Mus musculus: one gene and its partners. The protein of the gene in region 1 purifies or fractionates together with the protein of each later gene. This does not show direct contact. Links are inferred from orthologs where the notes say so. Each region holds a gene or a part of one and is shown in the gene's direction. Other genes may lie near its edges. The genes, in order: Eftud2, Fus and Ncdn.

The links.
Region 2: the proteins of Eftud2 (region 1) and Fus purify together in Homo sapiens (affinity purification with mass spectrometry; 3 studies listed by BioGRID and IntAct, with this or other methods). This does not show direct contact. The link is inferred for Mus musculus from reciprocal best matches to the Homo sapiens genes EFTUD2 and FUS.
Region 3: the proteins of Eftud2 (region 1) and Ncdn purify together in Homo sapiens (affinity purification with mass spectrometry; 4 studies listed by BioGRID and IntAct, with this or other methods). This does not show direct contact. The link is inferred for Mus musculus from reciprocal best matches to the Homo sapiens genes EFTUD2 and NCDN.

The regions. Positions count from the first base shown.
Region 1 is NC_000077.6:102,878,516-102,882,262, reverse strand, and holds the start of Eftud2 (116 kDa U5 small nuclear ribonucleoprotein component), read left to right. Parts: upstream 1-1,287; 5' UTR 1,288-1,368; intron 1,369-3,747. UniProt on the Homo sapiens protein: Required for pre-mRNA splicing as component of the spliceosome, including pre-catalytic, catalytic and post-catalytic spliceosomal complexes. Component of the U5 snRNP and the U4/U6-U5 tri-snRNP complex, a building block of the spliceosome.
Region 2 is NC_000073.6:127,973,867-127,977,513, forward strand, and holds part of Fus (RNA-binding protein FUS), read left to right. Parts: intron 1-533; coding exon 534-568; intron 569-2,021; coding exon 2,022-2,054; intron 2,055-3,351; coding exon 3,352-3,455; intron 3,456-3,647. UniProt on the Homo sapiens protein: DNA/RNA-binding protein that plays a role in various cellular processes such as transcription regulation, RNA splicing, RNA transport, DNA repair and damage response. Binds to ssRNA containing the consensus sequence 5'-AGGUAA-3'.
Region 3 is NC_000070.6:126,751,064-126,754,810, reverse strand, and holds the start of Ncdn (neurochondrin), read left to right. Parts: upstream 1-1,381; 5' UTR 1,382-1,807; coding exon 1,808-1,840; intron 1,841-2,243; exon of another isoform or gene 2,244-2,294; intron 2,295-2,729; coding exon 2,730-2,870; intron 2,871-3,747. UniProt on the Homo sapiens protein: Probably involved in signal transduction in the nervous system, via increasing cell surface localization of GRM5/mGluR5 and positively regulating its signaling. Required for the spatial learning process.

The DNA.
Region 1 (3,747 bases):
CGGTAGGATTTTGCCTTGTGAATGCAAATGCCTTGGGTTTGATCCCCAGCAAAACACAAAACCACAACACACACACACACCTATTAATTCAGGTGTTTCATCTGAGGAGGCAATTTGGAGTTCAGATTTCTGACTCTTCATTCTTTCACATAGGATTTCTCTATATCAGTTTATTACCATAAAGGAACAGAGCGGGGGAGGGGGGGAGAGGGGAGGACAGACACAGATACAGAGAGAGACAGAGAGGTTTCTTTTATTATCTACTCCAGCTCAAGGACAAAATTTCACACTTCACTAAATGTCTTTAATGAAGAAAAAAAAATCACCTCAACCAAAAGCAATGACAAAGCAGGAAGTTGAGAAGTGTCAGAAGGAGAAAACTCAGTAGCCTCCATCCCCAAATCCCTGAGCAGCACAGAGCGGCAGGCAAATGTGTGCTGTGTGGGCATTATCTCCAGTCCTACCACTGAAGTCCTGCCGCCTCCCGGTATGTGTCTGATGGGGCTGTTTTCATAGGAAGCTATGTGTTCCGGTCTGGCTTCTGACATTTACTTATGATACCTCTTTCCACCTCAGAATCCTGGTGAGCTGGAGCCATAGTTCACTCATGATCAGCCCTAGGGCAGGAAATGAGCTGGTCCGCAAGCAAATCCACAGCCATCCCAACCATGATGGGAAATGGAACGCCGAGAAGTGGGCTGTGTTACTCAGCCAACAATTGTACTCAAGAGTCTCATACCCTAAGCAATATTTTGGGGGGTGAGGAGATCTCGCTGTGCCTAGTTTGCTCTCTCCAAAACTTCTGAGCTCATCATGATCTAGGCTCAGCCTCTAAGCAATAGAGACGATAGACTCTCGCTACCCGACCCATTTCTCTGTCGAGTTCTAAGCCTTCTCCAATTATAGAATGACTAGAGCAATCCCCTTTACTGTCCCTAAACCCTCACCCAGTCTTGGACTCCCTGCTTTCTCTCGAGAAACCCCGGATCTGGTAGAACACCTTAGTGCATCGCCCTCGCAACAGAGATTGTTGCCTAGCAACGGCGCCACCAGTCTGCCCACGTGACCGGCCCGAAGGCCCTCCTTTCAGGCTGTCCTAAGGCGCCTGATCAGAATCCTCCGGCCTTGCTTTTTTTGTGGAGAAGTCCACGCTTCGTTTTGAGGACCAACAAGTTGGCCTTTCCCATTTCTGTCTCCGGGGCCAGAATTTCTCGAAGCTGTTCCTTAGGCAGAGCTGTCCTCCGAGGCGAGGCGGTCCGGCGACGCGCTCGGGGTCCTTCCTAGCGCCGGGCGCCGGCGTTGTCGCGGCGTGCGGCGGAAGCGCGGGCTCAGGCGGCGGACCGGGGCACTCGGCTGAGCATTCGGCGGGTGAGCTGGCCGGGAAGGGTCCTTTCGGGGCTTGGGGAACGAGCGAAACATGAGCTTGGGAAGAGGCGATTTATATAGTACTTATCCCTTTCGCTTAACGAACGCGTAAATTGAATTCTGGCGTGGGAAAGAGAATGAAAGACCCCAACGCACGCACACACCGTCGATTCCGGGGTTTCCGCGGTCCCCAACGTGGTTAAGATCCTGTCCCTTAGTAGAGGTGGCGCTGTAAAGACCCAGGCCCCTGCCACTCCCCCTTCCATCGGTGCCTGCTTCACCGCCAGACTGTCTCCATCTTCAAACTATTCTGCATCCGAGCTGACTGTGATGGCGAGTGCCTAATTTTTGCGCTCTGGAGATGCAGACAGAAATATTGGTGCAGGTTCAAGGCTAAGTAGCGGGTCTGGTTCAAAAAGCCAAAACCAGAAAAGATTCCAGCATTCCTTTGAGATTCTGCGTTGCAGTGGGAAGATGCAGTTTTGGTTATTTAGAGTAGCTTTACTTAAACTAAGCATATCACTAATTCACTCCCCTACCCAAAGCCACCCTCGAAAAACAAAACTAGCAAAACGTATTGAGGGCCTATTTTGTCCCAGGCACTGTTGTCGTTTTGCTCCTATTTTATTATTAACATTTATCAGTAGCGGGCACACACACATGTTCCCTAAGTACTACTCAGGCATAACCTTGACTTTACTTAGGCGAGGGGTGTAACTCGGTGGAGAAGTGTTTAGTAGAGTGTGAGGCCCAGGATTCGATCTTAAGCACCCAGCCACACACTAAGAGATTAGTGTAAGGGTGGCCTGGCAAGTATATGTGGAGTGACAAATAGGTGACATTAAAGGAAAAGGGTGAGTTAAATGAATTAAGAAGGTATACATAGCCAGAGGACAATGGGAATGACAATTATCCTGGGGGCAGAGATGAGTTTGGCTTGTTCAGTAAACAACCTTCTTTAAAAATTTGTGATGGTAATCTTGGGAGAAGACAATGAACATAATTGTGGTTGCCTCTTAGAAATAAAAACAGTAGGTATACTGTAAGAAATACCAGAATTTCAGAACAAAACATTCCACTCCCTTAGCTTTACTGAGTGTCTTTTTGTGCAAGGTGCTGTCAGGGGCATTGGTGCGTGAACACAAAGGAGCATGGGGATTCACGTGCTCAAGAAGGTCAAGTTTTGTTATGACCAACATTTGTTACTTGTTGCTTTTTGAGACAGGGTCTCTCAGGATGTATGTAGGATCATGGGTATAAGATCCTATGCTTGGATAATCACACTGTGTGTGTTTCTGTGTGTGTGTGTGTGTTTCTGTGTAGTAAGTGAGGATCAGATGTGCTGTGGCTTGCAGGTGGAGGTCAGAGGACAGCTTCAGGGTTTGGTCCTATCTCCTCCTTACTGCCAATACCAGGCTAGCTGGCTCTGAGCTTCAGAGAATCTCTGCCTCCCATTTCCTGTTGGCCGTCTAGGATCACAGACACTCACACTACCCTATGTAGCTTTTCAGTGGGTTTCCAGGACTGAACTCAGGTTATCAGGCTGCACAGCTAGGTACTTACTCATTGCCTTTATAAGGTTTTAGGCAATAATAAATCACTCTAAGGAGGTAAACTAACTTCTGTGAGTTACGTCATCCTTAGAAATGAGGCCAAGATAGGATGGATCGAGGTCTTTAACCCCAGGGGCCTGATGCTTTTTCCCCTGCTCTGGTTTGTGTTGCTCGCAAACCGTAGAATTGTTTTTTAGAATAACAACAGTTGCCTAGCATTTGGGACAGAAGATACTGACGAGAGTGAGAGGCTGAGGGGCTGGGAAGGCTGGTAGGGTGAGATCTAAACTGTTCTTTTGAACAGAATATTCAGTCGTTGAAGTGGGGGGAAATCTGCTGATGTTGCAGACAATTGTAAGGTAGCGTGTGGTTGATGAGATTCGAACCTGGGTCCTTTAAAAGAGCAGTGAGAACAATGAGTTCTTACCCATCACTAAGGGACAAGCATGTCCGCTGTCACCATAATTAAGGGTCAAAGTTAGAATCATCAGTGAGGACAAGTTGGAATCGTGTACCTCTCAGAGCAGAGGCAAAGCCACACGAAGGGAGATTCTTCAAAAGCCTTGGTTTGTAATCTGGAAAAGTGTCACGTGAAAGTCAAGTACGATCCTAGTTTGTGTCCTTAGCAGTGTCGTTTGTGACTGGAACAGTTTCTCAAACTTGGTGGAGCCTGTGGATTAGGTAGTATAACCTGCTGGTATTCATTTTTATTTTGATGATTGCATTGTGATATTTTGAGAATACTATTTTTTTTTTTTTAAGTGAGATGCTGGAAAGAGAGTTTAGCATTTCAGAGTACCTGCTAGGCAACCATGAAGACTTGGAGTTA
Region 2 (3,647 bases), on another chromosome or scaffold:
GTTTGTCTTGCTCTAAGGGGAAATTGCCTTTGGTTATGACTTTTTATGGAATGGGGTTGGGTCTGCTTGCTGCTTTCAAAGCAAAAACCACAAAACAAAACAATGAAAAATCACGTGTTCAGGGCTATCTCAGGGCCTGGTGTGAAATGTCTTCTGGGAAATTTGGGGTAGATCTTTTAAACCAACTGCTGGGTTGTCCACCACTTGCTACAAGAGGAAAAAACATCTACGTCAGAAGAACAACCAAGGAAAATGAGCTTTTTTTTTCCAGAGGATATAGATAAAACTTTTTAAAGTAAAATCCTTAACTGTGTCTGAGAAATTGCACACGTGTGTGTGATAAGCTCAAAGGTCAGACAAGGGTGGTCAGGAAGGGGTATATTTTAGTAGCCTCTTGAATCTTTTTCCCAAAACAACAATCCATGTTTGGGGAATATTAAAAAAAAAACCCAAAAAAAACCAAAAAACAAAAAACCAACCCTTTTGTAGCCGTTGGAAGCTTCATGTCCTTTCTTCTAACTTGTCTTCTCCAGCGGAAGTGACCGCGGTGGCTTCAATAAATTTGGTGGTAAGTGAACAGAGTTTCCAAAATTCCCAACTCCCAGCAATGCTTTGTCTGATTGTTCATTTGCAGATGTCTTAGCGTGTTAAGTGTCAAAGGTTTCTAAAGTGTCTGTAGCCACCTCCAGAAGGGGTGGGGTAGAATGCCTCCTGCTGCCAGATGTGTGCTAACTGGAGGCCAGCAGGGATAAGCTCTTGGCAGTCTGCTATGTTACTAAATTGGTTTTACACAAGTTAATAGTATTATTTAGTAGGCCTCTTGGTGGGTGTTGCCACATCTAGCACTTAGTGACCACACCATCCTGGGCAACTGGGGGATGTTCTGGAACATGTGGTGCCAACTTGGCTTTAGGATCCTTTTGATCAGTGTGTCCAAGGTGTGTGTGTGTGTGTGCGTGTGTGTATGTATACACAATCTCCCAAATGTTTTAATTTAGGGAGAGGGACATGAAATAGTGCCCTGCCCTGAAGATGGTAAAGTTGGTGTATATATATTTATATTAAATAGTGATGTCAATGCAATTCTACATATGTACTCAGACAAATATATAGGAACTAGATCTGGGAAGGAAGGTGTGGACTACAAGAAAGATCTTGAGTGTATTGCTCATGGGAAATAACCAGGTTTTACACAGCACAAACTTGAATTCATGGAAAAAAATGGCAAATTTGAGAAGTCTCCTAGTAAGCTGGAACTTTTCTGGTTTGTTTAACAAAATGGTTTCTTGATTTGTCTAAAAACACTTAAAGCCAAAGGCTTGGGTTCATGACTTAGGTGTCATTGTGTACAGGTACAATATTTTTATATGGTGAATTTAGATAAACATTGGTTAAAGATGGTGTCTGGAAAAAAATAGGCTGTATTATGAAAACACTTCTGGTCTGTTCCCTGGGACATGCTTTTAAAATACAATAGTAGCTACTATGTATGTTATTTTCATGTTGCTTTGGGGAAACAACATGGTTAAGAATGGTTTTCAAGATGAAATTAAAAATTGTTCTACAAGGGTTGTCTTTGGTGTAAAAGTTTGGAGAAACTGGATGGATGCACTTTACATTGCTGGTGTTGAGCTTACTATGCTTCTCTTGTGAGAGAACAGGGCCAAGTTATGTATGAGTTGGTTGGTTAATTTAAAAGAATTACTAATTCCCCTACCCCCATCTGTGCTGAGGACATTTCCCAGCCCTAGCTGGGGGAAAACAGCATTTTCTTGAAGTGTGTGGCATTATCAATGGGGATTCAAAGTAGCAGATCTTAAGAAAGAGGCCCTTGTCTCCGTCTAGAATTTTCTCCATTGGGAAGGCCTCAGGATAGGGTTTGGAGAGAGGCTGGAAGCAATTACCTAATACATTCCAAGAATTTGCATTTGATGTTAATTTGTTGCCTTATCTGTCCTTTCCTGTTAGCTAATGGTTCCTTTTCCTTGTTTTTGTTTTCTTTTTTTTTTCATGTAACTAAGGTCCTCGGGATCAAGGATCTCGTCATGATTCTGGTAAGCCCATGGTTTTTATATAGTATTCACTTGGATTTTCTTAGAAACAAAAAATACTGCAAAAGTGGAGAGTGATGGGAGGGGCTGTATAAATGCTAGAAACCCTGGATCTGGAAGTTTAGACTTCAGATTCTGGTATTTATTATTTCTAGTACGTCGTGGGTCTTGCTTGGGAGCTGTTCTTTTAAAGTTGATGGTGTTTTAAAGTCCAAAAATTACTAAACCAGACAATTTTTTACTTATTTTTTTGGATTTTTGAGATGGATTTCTCTGTATGACTCAGAAATCCACCTGCCTCTGCCTCCCAAGTGCTGGGATTAAAGGCGTGCGCCACCACACCCGGACAGACATGATGTTTCGTACCTTTATTCCTAACAGGATGATCTCTTGAGTTCATGTCTAGGCCATCCTGCTCTACAGAGCTAGTTCCACGACAGCCTGGGCTATACAGAGAAACTAAACTCAGTTTTAAAAACCAAAACAAAGAAATGCACACATGTAAACTGTTGAGTAACATTAGGTGGATAAAAAGACCAGACTGAAAGATGTGTTAAGGGAACCACTTTACTAGATGTTTTTTGATGGTATTCCTATAGGCTATACTATATTTAAATGTGAAATTGGTCTCATTCCTTTCTTTTGATTTTTAGTTACAGTCATCTACATAATTATTTTGAGGCAGGATCTCTACATAGCCTTGGCTGTCTTGGAACTATGTAGACCAGGCTGTTTTTAGAATTCAGAGATCTGGGGCTGGAGAGATGGCTCAGTGGTTAAGAATACTGACTGCTCTTCCAGAGGTCCTGAGTTCTAATCCCAGCAACCACATGGTGGCTCACAACCATCTGTAATGGGATCTGATGCCCTCTTCTGATGTGTCTGAAGACAGCAGACAGTGCTCACATACAGAATTAATTAAAAAAAAAAAATTCAGAGATCCACTTGTCTCTGCATCCAGAGTGCTGATATTAAAGGAGTGTTCCACTATGCCCTGGCATAAAAAGTTTTTTTTTTTAAACTAAGGAGTCTAGAAATGAAAGTTTGGAAACTGGTTTTTATATTGGGTGTTGGTGTTTCAAGGACAGTAATGAGTAAATGTAAAATTTTTGAAGGAAGTAGATAATACTTAAATATGGATTGTTTTTGATTATCCAATAAGATACTGTGTAACTGGTAAGAATCCTGAGCATTTTTCTTGAAAGCTTTAAAAGTACACATATATGGTTGGTATACCTGGCTAACTTGTCTTTCCGTTTTTTCTTCAAACCTTTCTTTTAATGTGTTGTTGAACAAGCAGAACAGGATAATTCAGACAACAATACCATCTTCGTGCAAGGCCTAGGCGAGAATGTTACAATTGAATCTGTGGCTGATTACTTCAAGCAGATTGGAATTATTAAGGTACTTGATAAACAGTAGGTACTTCCTCTTAACTGTATTACAGGCTCTTAGATTCTTGCCATTAGAAACAAGTCTTAGTGATCTCAGTAGTAAAAACAATCTTTGGCATTTTTTGAGATTGGAGTATAATCCTTTTTTCAAAAATATATTTAATCTGTTTATTCCCAGCAGAGACAGGTGATCTCTGATCTA
Region 3 (3,747 bases), on another chromosome or scaffold:
GCTTTAAGAAAGAAAGAAAGAAAGAAAGAAAGAAAAAAGTCCTAGATGTTTGAGAAAGTTACAGAACAGACTGCATGAATAGCTTTGCTTATATTTGCAAACACTGTTTTCCAAATAGCTGGAAAAATGAACAGATTGTTCTAGGAGGTCGTCTTTCCAATTTGTTCCTAGTTTCCAGTCTGTTAATCACAAGATAGCACAAGGAGAGTCAGCTAAGGAGCTTTAACAGCTTCTATTGTCAGTTGGGCACAACCACCGTGAGATGAGACCAGGCAAAGCATTCCTGGAACCCCGCCTGAGGTCTTCTACTTTGACTTCCTTCAGTTCGCTTTTTGTGCTCACTGCAGCCACCGCAGGACCCTCTAAGGGGCATAATTGTCAAAATTCTCAAGGAGGAAGGTTTTCGCCAACGAGCCCAGCCCCGCCCCCTTTATTCTGTATCAACTTTTTTTTTTCCCTTTTCTTTTCTTTTAATCTCGATGGGAAGATCATCAAACACCAGAGACAGCAACTCGGGACGAGGCTGCAGAGGTCGAGAGTATCATAAGGACCGCAGTGCCTCAGCCTGGTCTGCCCATATGTCAGGGAATAGAGGGAGCTGCCTGACCAGGCCTGAGTCCCAAAGCGGAGGGGTTCAGATTGGGACTCTGGCACCTGCAAGGCTAGAAGCAGCAGATTTGTCCTGTCCCAGCCAGGAGCGCCATCTCCGGGTCCCAACGCCGGACCAGCGTACCCGAGGCATCGCCCGTCCCGCCTCTGCCCCTCCCCTGAGCTCCTGGTCCTCGGCCTGGCAGTCAGCCGCCCCGGCCACCTACCGGGGCTCAGGGCCACATAGAGGGGTGCCGGCTCTCGGCGGCCTCCGCCTCCTCCCGATCCATGGGCTCGGGGACCCCCAACCTTCTCTCCCCTCACGCAGAGGAGGAAGAAGGAAGTGCTGGCTCCCCACCCGGACAGCTCCCTCTTGCCTCAGCCTCCCTGGACAGCGACCGCGGCCGGAAACGCCGCCTCCTTCCCACCTCCCGGGGCTCAACCCGGAAACATACTCTTCACGCTGAGCCAGTCCTCCTGCCCCCACCCTCCGGAAGCGCAATTCCAGCCGCGAGCCCAAAAGTGGGAGGAGGGGCGGCGCTGAGGGGAGAGCTACGCACAAGCGAGGACGTCCGGGCCCTCAGCCTTTGGCCGCGAGCCCTTGCGGGGCGGCCCGCACCTTTCCTCCTTAGCTCGAGCACTCAGGCCCCAGACTCGGGCAATTGCCCACAAGCAAGATGGCCGCACCGGAGGCGCCCCCCTACTGCTTAGCGCCCTGCTGTGCCATTGGTCAGAGTGCGGAGTGAGCCCAGCGCCGATTGGTCGAGAGCGATGCGGGGGTGGGGGTGGAGCTGTAGCAGCCTGGAGCCAAGAGTGGGCAACGCGGCGTGAGCAGCAGCCCCAGGCTCCCGGAGCATCGCGCCCGGAGAAAGACTTCGCCGCTCGGGGCCGCAGCCTGGTGAGCTCAGCCCCCTTCAAGCCCTCCCCTGCATCTCAGCCGGAGCCTCTCCGAACCGGCGCTGATCGATGCCGAGACTCCCCAGGGACCCTATCGCGACTCCATCGTGCCATATCTCGACATCACCGTACCCTGTCGAGACTCCATTTTGTCACAACCCCTTTCAGTATTTATCTATCTACCTATATATTTTTTTAAATTTGCCCTATCATATTTGGGGGCTGTCCCCTTCATGTCGTGATTTCGCTGTGATCTCTCCGTGACATCACCGCGCCATCGTGAAGTGTGATCTCATCGCTGCCCTGTCGTTCGACTTCATCAATGTCGTGTTGTGACCTGGCTGCGGCGGGACAGGTGGTGACCGCCAGGATCCCTTCTCCCCTTCTCATCTCTCCATCACTGCAGCCCCGCTTCGATTATCCGGCTTTTGGATTCTGTTATCCTGAGAGCCACCCGACCCCTCTTTCCTTCTCCAGCCAGTGCCGGCACCCACAGGCTGTTAGCGGGACGGACAGGGAGAGTACAGGGAGCACAAGGGGTTAATGTTGCTGCTGCTGCAGCAGCAGCTGCAGCTCCTGCTCTTGCAGCCTCTGCAGCCTCTGCAGCCTCTGCCCGAGGGAGGGAAAGAAGAGAAGGCAAGGAGGCTGCGGGGGCGATTAAGAGCCCTGGCTGGAGGGGTGGGTCCACAGGGGAGTCTTCAAAGCCTTCTCTGGAGAGCTTGCCTTCTCACTCCTGCTGAAGCCAGTCTACTTTCTCTGAAGAAGGGAGGGGAAAGGAACCCTAGAATGTCCTTTTCTTCCTTGTCGGCGTGAGTCCGGATAATCGAACTTGACCCGTGTCTGTCTGCATTCCTCCCTGTCTGTCCTCACCGCTCACTCCTCGTGTGCCTCCTGGAGAGAGATAAAACCCGGTGTCTGGTGCCAGGGGCTGCTGAGCAGTTGGGCCAGCTCCTTCCCACTTCTAGACTGGTGAGGAAAGCTGTCCAGCTGAGCAGCGGCATGCATGGTCCTCATATCCCACTTTTCTGGAGGTGACCTTGGACCAGGGTCCCTTCTTCATCCTAAAGAATTTGTAGGTCCAGCCTCTTAAAGGGGCTCCCCCAAGGGAGGTCAGTCATGAGGAAGCCACCCTTCCAAATCCACCCCCCCTCCCTCTGTGCTAATCCCTCCCTACATCCTCCACTTCCACCCCCGCCCCCGCCCCTCCTCTGCAGAGGGATGCTCAGTCCCTCTTGTGTTCACAGTTGGGCAAGGCGGGCATCATGGCCTCGGATTGTGAGCCAGCTCTGAACCAGGCAGAGAGCCGAAACCCCACCCTGGAGCGCTACCTGGGAGCCCTCCGTGAGGCCAAGAATGACAGCGAGCAGTTTGCAGCCCTGCTGCTAGTAAGGACCTGGAAGGTGGGAGGGCTGGTCAGGAGGGCCCCCAAAGAATGGGGTCAGCAAGTCTCCAGGGGTATCTAAGTGGTATTGGCAACCCGGAGGTACCAAAAAAGGCCTGAGACCTCTACCTTTGTACTCTGTTCTCTTGAGAATGGGGGAAGGGGAGAAGAGGGGTGAATAAGACTGTGGCATGGGACCACGGAGGAGGCTGCCTGGATTTGCTTTTTGGGGCGTCCCGGAGCAGATGGGAGCTGACTCATAGGGTAACAGCAGCAGGTTGTAACTAGTGCAGAGTACTTGTGGGCCGGGGTAGCTTTTCCTCGACCTGAGAGAGTAACAGGATGGGGAGTAACTAGCAAGAGGTTCTGAGAGATGACCAGAGTGATGATCAGTATGTCAAAAGTAAAGGGTCTTAGTCTGCTAGAGGAACCCAAGCTGGGGACAGCAAAGCAGGAGCTGCAGTGCTTGGGGTGGGAGGGGGGGGATGAGTTGGTGTGTGGGGGGTGAAGGGAGGAGGGAGTGCAGCAGTTGCTTGTTTGCCATGGCAACAGGGAGAAGGCTCTGGAGTCAAGGGCTCACACTGCAGCAGAGGAGGTGTTTAGGCGAAACGTAAGGGGAAATGTTTTGACATGCGGAGCAACGAGACACAGGAGCCATTTCCCGTGAGAAGGTGTCGGAAATGGATCAGAGACTTCTCTGGAGAGAAGTCCTTAGGGAAGGACCCTGAATCCTTAGAGGATTTGAGTTCTGAAGCCCCTTGCCTCCCAGGTCTTAGGCATATGGATTAATGGATTAGAGACCAGGAGGCACTCCTCAGCTGGCCAGGTGATGACCGTTTGCCCAGATGTGTAGTGAAGGGCCACTGGACAAACTCCTTTCC